Linked DNA regions of Kluyveromyces lactis. The protein of the gene in region 1 interacts with the protein of each later gene in a pairwise test. Links are inferred from orthologs where the notes say so. Each region holds a gene or a part of one and is shown on either strand. Other genes may lie near its edges. The genes, in order: RAD18 and RAD5.

Evidence for each region.
Region 2: the proteins of RAD18 (region 1) and RAD5 interact in a two-hybrid assay, tested with the Saccharomyces cerevisiae proteins (4 studies listed by BioGRID). The link is inferred for Kluyveromyces lactis from reciprocal best matches to the Saccharomyces cerevisiae genes RAD18 and RAD5.

Annotation. Positions count from the first base shown.
Region 1 is NC_006039.1:765,343-768,791, reverse strand, and holds RAD18 (E3 ubiquitin-protein ligase RAD18), read left to right. Parts: upstream 1-1,661; coding exon 1,662-2,945; downstream 2,946-3,449. Other genes in the region: HCM1 (Hcm1p), read left to right, coding at 1-1,150; GTPase-activating protein SED4, read right to left, coding at 3,291-3,449. UniProt on the Saccharomyces cerevisiae protein: E3 RING-finger protein, member of the UBC2/RAD6 epistasis group. Associates to the E2 ubiquitin conjugating enzyme UBC2/RAD6 to form the UBC2-RAD18 ubiquitin ligase complex involved in postreplicative repair (PRR) of damaged DNA.
Region 2 is NC_006042.1:1,601,558-1,606,152, reverse strand, and holds the start of RAD5 (DNA helicase RAD5), read left to right. Parts: upstream 1-1,521; coding exon 1,522-4,595. Other genes in the region: DLT1 (Dlt1p), read right to left, coding at 1-909. UniProt on the Saccharomyces cerevisiae protein: Probable helicase, member of the UBC2/RAD6 epistasis group. Functions with the DNA repair protein RAD18 in error-free postreplication DNA repair.

The DNA.
Region 1 (3,449 bases):
TAGGCACAACTTGTCTTTGAACGAAGCGTTTGTTAAAGGTGGTAAATCTTTGGACGGGAAGGGACATTTCTGGGAAATTAAACCTGGGTATGAATCCAAGTTCTTCAAAAATGATGAAAGTTTTTCCATTGATGATTTTAAGGTAAAGCTACAAAGATTCAAGAGTGTGAATTTGGATGATGGTTATGAAGCTGGCAGTACCACGTCCAGTTTTAATGGATCATCAATTGCCTCGTACAATAAGTCGAAAAGGAAAAATAAGTCATTTTCAATTTCTACCATGGATGACAAATCGAGTGATATTGGTGACGCGGGTGATACTTCCTTGGATCAAAGCAGTGACGGTGACGAAGAATCAACTTCAATAACCAATATACCTTCATCGCCACGATTAGGTGATCACGCCGAAGCTGCTGGTCATGGAAGCCATCAGTTTCCGGCTACGGATAAAGACTTCCTGTATTACGAAGATGAAAATATGGTCAAAAGACAAGACTCTAGTCATCTGGTGGGCCCGTTGAAATTTAACCATCGCTCTGTCAGTGCACATAACCATGAATATGATGATTTAATGGTTGCTGCCGTCTCTTCTCCTAAATTCAAAAAATATTCGTGTTCTTTCAACACATCATTTGAACCCGTATCTCCGATGAACAAGCTGCAGCTGCCATCAGTTAACCAGCAAAATTCAAAGACACCTATTAGGGAAAGCTCTGTCACTCCTCTGAAATTCAATATTTTTTCAACACCTAAAGATTTCAATAAAGATGGTCTGAACCCACCGGCGTCTACCAGAACTTGGCAAAGCCCGTCTCGTCTATTTGAAGATTATTATGCGTCATCACCAGTGTTTTTCAGAAACGTAATCAATCAATCTATAGATGATTGTATGATACAGTATGACACAGAAAAGAAATGTATTGATTCTCCCCGAAAGTTGAGTCTCAGAGATCAAACTTCTCCCAAGGAATCCAGTCAATCAGGATTAATTGATCACTCCAAATATTCATCAAACATTCTTTTTGGTGTTGATGTTTGTTCAGTGTGGAAAAGGGCGATTGCTCATTGTAACAGCAATGATGAAGTAGATAGCTATCGAGAAGAGGTAACAAAAAACGATTTGGACCCTCCTTTTGATGGGATGAACTAATGTTTGCTTTCTTTTTCATATAGAGTCTGTCGTTATCTCGATGACCATATTTTTTGTTTTTCTTCACAATCTGCCTGACGCTTGGGTTTCTTTATATGGCTGAGTTATTTGTCTCCTTTATTTCTTTCAATTTATTTCATTCCTGCGTTCAATTATTGTAGTGTACGCGCCTTTCTTTTATTCATTGGTGTCCTTTTTAAAGTATTTTTATTTGCAATAGTTATTGCTAATGTATGTATCATTATATCAATCATATTTAATTCTTACATTTCCTTCTAACCGATATTTACAATCAAAGGATATTATCCTGATAGACCATATGGCTTTGTTATTTGATCTGACTTCGTTTCATCGTTGTTTAATTAGCTCTGAATAGTGCTTCAATATTATGCCATACTTTGTAAATTACTAAAATACGATAAAAAGAAGCTAAAAGCAGATAATCCGAGTTACCTTCTGAAAAGTATCAAACATTAAATGCTGGAGTGCAGAGGAATCAACCAGAACTGTCATGAAGCTAAGTGTACCTGAAACTATATCGAATCCTCGTGATTTTCTTCACACGAGTGTTCCGCAACTTACTGACCTCGATTCACTTCTTCGATGTCATATCTGCAAAGATTTTTTAAAGGCATCGGTCTTGACGCCATGCGGTCATAGTTTCTGTTCCATTTGCATAAGAAAGTACCTTCAGAAAGAGAGCAAATGCCCATTATGTCTCAGTGACCTCACTGAGTCTATGCTACAAAAAGAGTTTCTAGTACAAGAGATTTGTTCAAGTTACGTGAAACTGCGAGGTTCTTTGCAGAAACACTTGACAATATCATCTCAGGAAGAGGAAAAAGATAATGAAATAATAATATCTGACGAGGCAGATACATCTGTAGGTACAAAGAGGGGTACTCCAGATAGCCCATCTTTATCTTCAGTAAGTACTAAAAAGAGAAAACATGATGGTATAACAACGTTGTTAATGAAAAAGAAAACGGATCATCCACAGCGGCAAGAGAAGAAGGCACAATGTCCTATATGCTCCAAGCACCTGCCGCTTTCAGAATTAGAAGGTTCGCATATTGATGAGTGTTTGAACAAAGGTAGTAGTTTGGAGAGATCGGATTCTTTTGAGATTTTGGATGAACGTACACCCTCCCCTTCGATGGAATCTTCGCATCAACCACTAGAAGAGAAGACTAGCCTGCCGTCTTCACATTTGCTAGAGGTAAAAGAAAAGAAGGATATCACGTACCATAACGAGAGGTACTTAAATTCTGGGCTGCTGCAGCAAAAGGAAAATAGATTACCAAGATTGGATTTTCAGTCTTTATCTATGACACAATTGAAACAGAAGCTTGCTTCTTTGGCTCTACCATCAAATGGCACCAAACAGCAAATGGTAGCGCGATACAAGCATTACGAAATGTTATGGAATAGTAATTTTTTAGATTCAATTGATCCTGTTGACGAAAATGAACTTAAACGTCGTCTATCCAGTTGGGAAGCTAAGCACAATACAGACCATTCTTCTGATAGCAATAGCATAACTAACCTTCTCAGGGGTAATAAACGTACTAATGCTATAAGTGCCATGATCAAACTTTTTAAAAGCGATAGATTTGATAGAAAAGGTTGGATGAGACATCACACGTCAACGTTTAAAGCATTAAAATTGGAAGCACAACGTTCCGATAAACTTGCAAAGATGAAGAAGGAAGAGCTCTCCCAGAAGAGTGATGCGAACTCAGAAGTAAGTTCGGAACCTATACTAAAGATTGATCAAACGTCAGAGAATAATTAATAGAATCTAATATTCTCAACTTTTCATTATTTATCGTATATCAGTATATAGTATCTATAATTCATCTTGAATGATGTCAGGAGATTCATTAAGGATATCTTCTCTTCCCTCTAAATTGCGACCTCCAGATTGCGATGGGGCTGATTGTACTCTTGTTTCCTCGACATTGCTATCACTTTGGGCACCCATAATATTTTCTTCGATTTCAGCGTTGGTAGGGTTTAATTCAGTGTCCAATATGTCCGAAGAGATTACAGGTGACTCAAAAGCTTCTATTGATTCAATATTACCGACAGCCTTAAGCTCGTTTAAGTCTGCAGCTGCAATTGAATCATCCATCGCCGATTATGAACTTCCCGATGTTGTTAATTCTTCGGAAACAGTAACTATGAATTCGCTTTCCTGATCCGCTGTTTTGGTAATGGAGGAAGAAATAGTAGTGCTGGATGAGAAGCTCGATTTAGCTTCTGTATCCTTTTCGGCAGATGAAATGTCTGATTCTTC
Region 2 (4,595 bases), on another chromosome or scaffold:
AGATTCTGGTGGTTCTGCAGACTCATCTATATCGTAACTGAAGTTACTGGAGCGAGAGCCCACATGTGATGCAGGGGTTGTATTATGCATGAAGGCGTCAGACGGGTAAGGTCGTAAATATGGAGTTGAGAATTCGGAGTCCGTTCTAGATCTGGCATCAGTGTCATAATCTTCAGTAGGAACGTGAAGAAATTGGGATGGGACAGACTCGATTCTTGTTAAATCCAAATTATTCGATAAATCAGCGAGATATTTGTAGAGTCTTAAGAATTTTACGAAATCGTTTCGTTCAATATCTTGTCCACTAAATCGGAATTTCTCATAAAGCGAGATAAACTCATCCAAATACTGCTTATAAGGGTGTTTTTCATTCTCGAAAAGTTTATGAAGTGCTGTTTTGAAAGTTGTACTGAGATCCGATTCAGTGACAAAATTCAACAGCAAAGCCCCGTCGAATCTAAACCTATCAGAGATAAATTTAACAATTTCCGCATATTTCAAGTGTTCAGGAAACATATCACTGTCTTTTGGTTCCATGCCAGCATGTAAGACAGGCTCTTTCGGTACTTTAAACTTTTCCGCCAATTCTCCAGCTCTCTTCATATTTTCAATCACATATTCCCTTGAAGGTTTATGACGCATATCCTGCGCAGTTACTGGAATGTATTTCTTCGGTATATCTTGTAATGATCTTCGAAAGATCAATACACGAGCAAAACTAATAGAAATCCCAAATACCACTAATACAACAGCTGCACCGACCACAATAAAGGTATTAACTGCATCGTTGCTAGAGTCTGACGCTTGCACAATACAATCTAAAGGAACAACAACAGAAAAACCAACAAATAAAAGGATGAATATCACCTGCGTGGTATGATACCATATTTTATACCAACTTGTTACCATTCCAACTCATCTCTATAACAGTTATAATATAACATATAATCTCACACAGTGTGTCGAAAACGTACTTCTAAACGGAGATAAGTATTGGATGGAAACAGTCCTGGATTACAGTCTTCTCTGGTAGTAATTGAACTTAAACCCCGCAGAACCCCGCTATTTTCAGTTATCCAGAGTTAAGTCCGATCTTTTCGGGATTGTTAGCACTAAAACTCATATAGAATCCAAGTTCTTTCTCTCTCTCTCTCTATACTTTTATTGTCTGACATTGGGAAATGAAATTGTTTCGATGCTTTGAAATTTCAGCTTGTGGTACTTCATAGGAATACGAACCGATTTCTCTTTTGTTTCTATTTTGTTTCTTATTTCCATTATGTTTCCACAACGTGGTATTTTCTGGAAGTTTTCAAGTTCGAAGTTTTTTTTATTCACAAAAACTTTATTCATTTACGCGTCACGTGCGTTTGTTTTGCATTAAGAAATTGTTAACTTATTCGCGTCTCATCTCAGCTCATCTCTTTACTAATCATTTCAGGCACAGCAAAGGAATACTTGGAACACTACCCATATATATCTTTCAGTTGACCTGATTCTAGCAATACGGGCACCCAAAGTATGACACAGCCGCAAAAAGCTGATGAAAAACCAAGGTTCTTTCGTGATGAAGATGAATCTGTAATAAATTTGAACGAATCTCGATCTCTTTTTGTACAGGATGAGGCAGATGATTCTGATGATGGCCAAGGACATGTTGAAAGTTCCTCAGAAGTATCAAGTAATACATCTAATCATAAGGAAAGGTTTTTTGAATCTTTGAAGGAGATTCTTGGAGAAAATATGATTTCGTCCTCTCAACTCCACACTCTTTGGAGTTCATATGGTCTGCTCAAAGATGGTATAAGTATTGCAGCTGATAAATTCTTTGAGGACAAGGAATTACTTTCCAAAAGTAAAACTGAATCTAAAATGCCGGCTGGTGATAATATAGAGGTGATAGATTTGTCGGATGAAGAAAATGATGACGAATTGTCTATTCTGCCGTCTTCGTCCCAATTATCCCAACTGTTTACAAATAAGAGGACCAGCACCCAAGCAGGTTTAGAATCACCTATGTCATCTGACAAGGGAAGGAACCGATGGTCTCGTTACATTGGGTCTATTCATACTATGGGATTCGCTACACGGCCAACCGTAAAACCAGTTCCTATCGGATCCCGTTTAGGTTTTAAAAAATCTGTACCGAAGGATCTTCCCTTAGGTAAATCACTTCAGCACCAGCACTGTTCGCATTTAGTTCGCTTAATCGATACCTCACAGGATAGAGAACTTGGTCGAATGCCTGAAGATGTTGCAAGAATATTGTACCCACTTTTAGACTACAGCGAACAGGTCAGTCTGGAGCCATATCTTCTCATTAATAATGGTAAGAGATTCAGTGTTGGAGATAATATTTACATCAGAATTGATTGTTATTTGACCTCACAGGCTTTCGTCCGCATTGAAGGCGGAAGTATTCTGAACAAATCTTTTATCAATGACCATGGCATGGACACACGTCAGTTGCATCGCGCCGGAGCGATAATGGCATTGTTTGATGCGATAAATATACAACCAGTGTACGGAGACACCAAAAATGAGATGATACCTAACTACCAAGAAAACACTGTTTCTAGTTCCCAGTTTCAGGATGAAGCTTTGAACATCAATCAACTAAAATCATTTTACAGAATTACACAGTCCGCGGCCTCATTGCAAAACTTACCAGAAACTACCCCAGATGAATCACTTTTTAAATTGCAATTGAGAAGGTACCAAAAGCAAAGTTTGTCATGGATGCTCAAAAGAGAATACGAGTATAGTCATTTATCAGAGAAAGCCGCAGAAGTGTCTATTGATGGGAATAGTATGAATCCACTATGGAAGAAATTCCGCTGGCCATCTAATTCAAAACAAGGGACTCCAAACCACGAAGATGATTGCTTCTTTTATGCTAATTTATACACTGGTGAGTTTTCTATCGAGAAGCCGGTCATTAAGACGATAATCAATGGAGGTATTTTGGCGGATGAGATGGGTCTAGGGAAAACAATATCAGCTTTAGCATTGATTTGTACTGCTAGCTATGATGAGGCTCATGAAAAGAAAATTGAGTCAACCAAAAAGCCTTCTATGAAGGAGATGTCTTCTCAAGTGGATTCCTCTCCATTACGCCATTCTCAACATAAGCATGACACTTATGCTTACAGGACGACGTTGATAGTAGTGCCGATGTCCTTATTGAATCAGTGGCAATCAGAATTCGAAAAGGCCAACAAGGACCTCAAAAAACGTTGTGAAATTTATTACGGGAATAATATTAAAGATTTAAGGGCGTATGTGCTTGGCCCCAACGCTCCCTCAGTAATCATAACTACTTATGGGATAATTCAGAGCGAATATGGGAGAACCTCAACATCGGGATTATTCAATGTGGTCTTCTTTAGAATAATATTGGATGAAGGTCATACGATTAGAAATAGAAGTACAAGGACATCTAAAGCTGTCATAGCCTTGCGGAGTTCCAGAAAATGGATCTTGACAGGAACACCAATCATCAATCGACTTGACGATCTATTTTCCTTAGTTCAGTTCTTGAACTTAGAGCCCTGGTCTCACATCAACTATTGGAAGCGTTACGTTTCAGTTCCTTTCGAGAAAGGTAACTATGCGCAGGCATTTGATGTCATAAATGCAGTATTGGAGCCTGTGCTTCTCAGAAGAACGAAGAATATGAAGGATGTTGATGGCAAACCTTTAGTCTCTTTACCTCCAAAGGAAGTAATCGTCGAAAAGTTGCAACTTTCATCCAGTGAGAAAAGAGTTTATCAATCCATGTTAGAAGATGCGGAAAACTCTGTTAAAGAAGGGTTGGCCAAAGGTGATCTATTGAAGAACTACACTAATATCTTGGTCCATATTTTAAGACTTAGACAAGTCTGCTGTCATTTGGATTTACTCAAAAAGACACCAGATCTCGGAGACCCAGATCTTGAAGATCTGGAGAACTCAACTCAAAACATCTCCTCCATCCTCATGCCAAAAAATATTAAGTCACCAAAAAGTTCCATTTCTCAAGATAAATTGGATGCTTTAAGTGCGAACTTTCGTGATATTCACAGCGCTTCAGAGCAATTACCTTCTTTTGAATGTGCTATTTGCACCACTGAGTGTATTGAACCGCTGTCTGCGGTCTCTATAACAGAGTGTCTCCACACATTTTGTGAACCTTGTTTGGCAGAATACATTGAATTTCAGCAAAATAAAAAACTATCCATCAACTGTCCATATTGTAGAATGCCGATCTCAGAAGCTAATGTGTTAAAGCTAAAGGAGCCAATTGATGCTGAAAGAGGATATGAACTAATTTCGTTTCATTCACATTTCCAATCGACTAAAATTAAAGCTTTATTGAGGCATCTCAAGCAAATACAAGAAACTTCTCCTGGTGAACAAATAATCGTATTTTCTCAGTTCTCATCATTCCTAGACATTCTAGAAATAGAGCTACGTTCGCATTTGCCAAGAGATCAGGTAATTATTTACAAATTCGACGGACGGTTAGATATGAAGGAACGGACTAGAATCTTGGAACAGTTCCACGATAAGGATTTGAGTTGTATAAAGTTATTACTTTTGTCGTTGAAAACTGG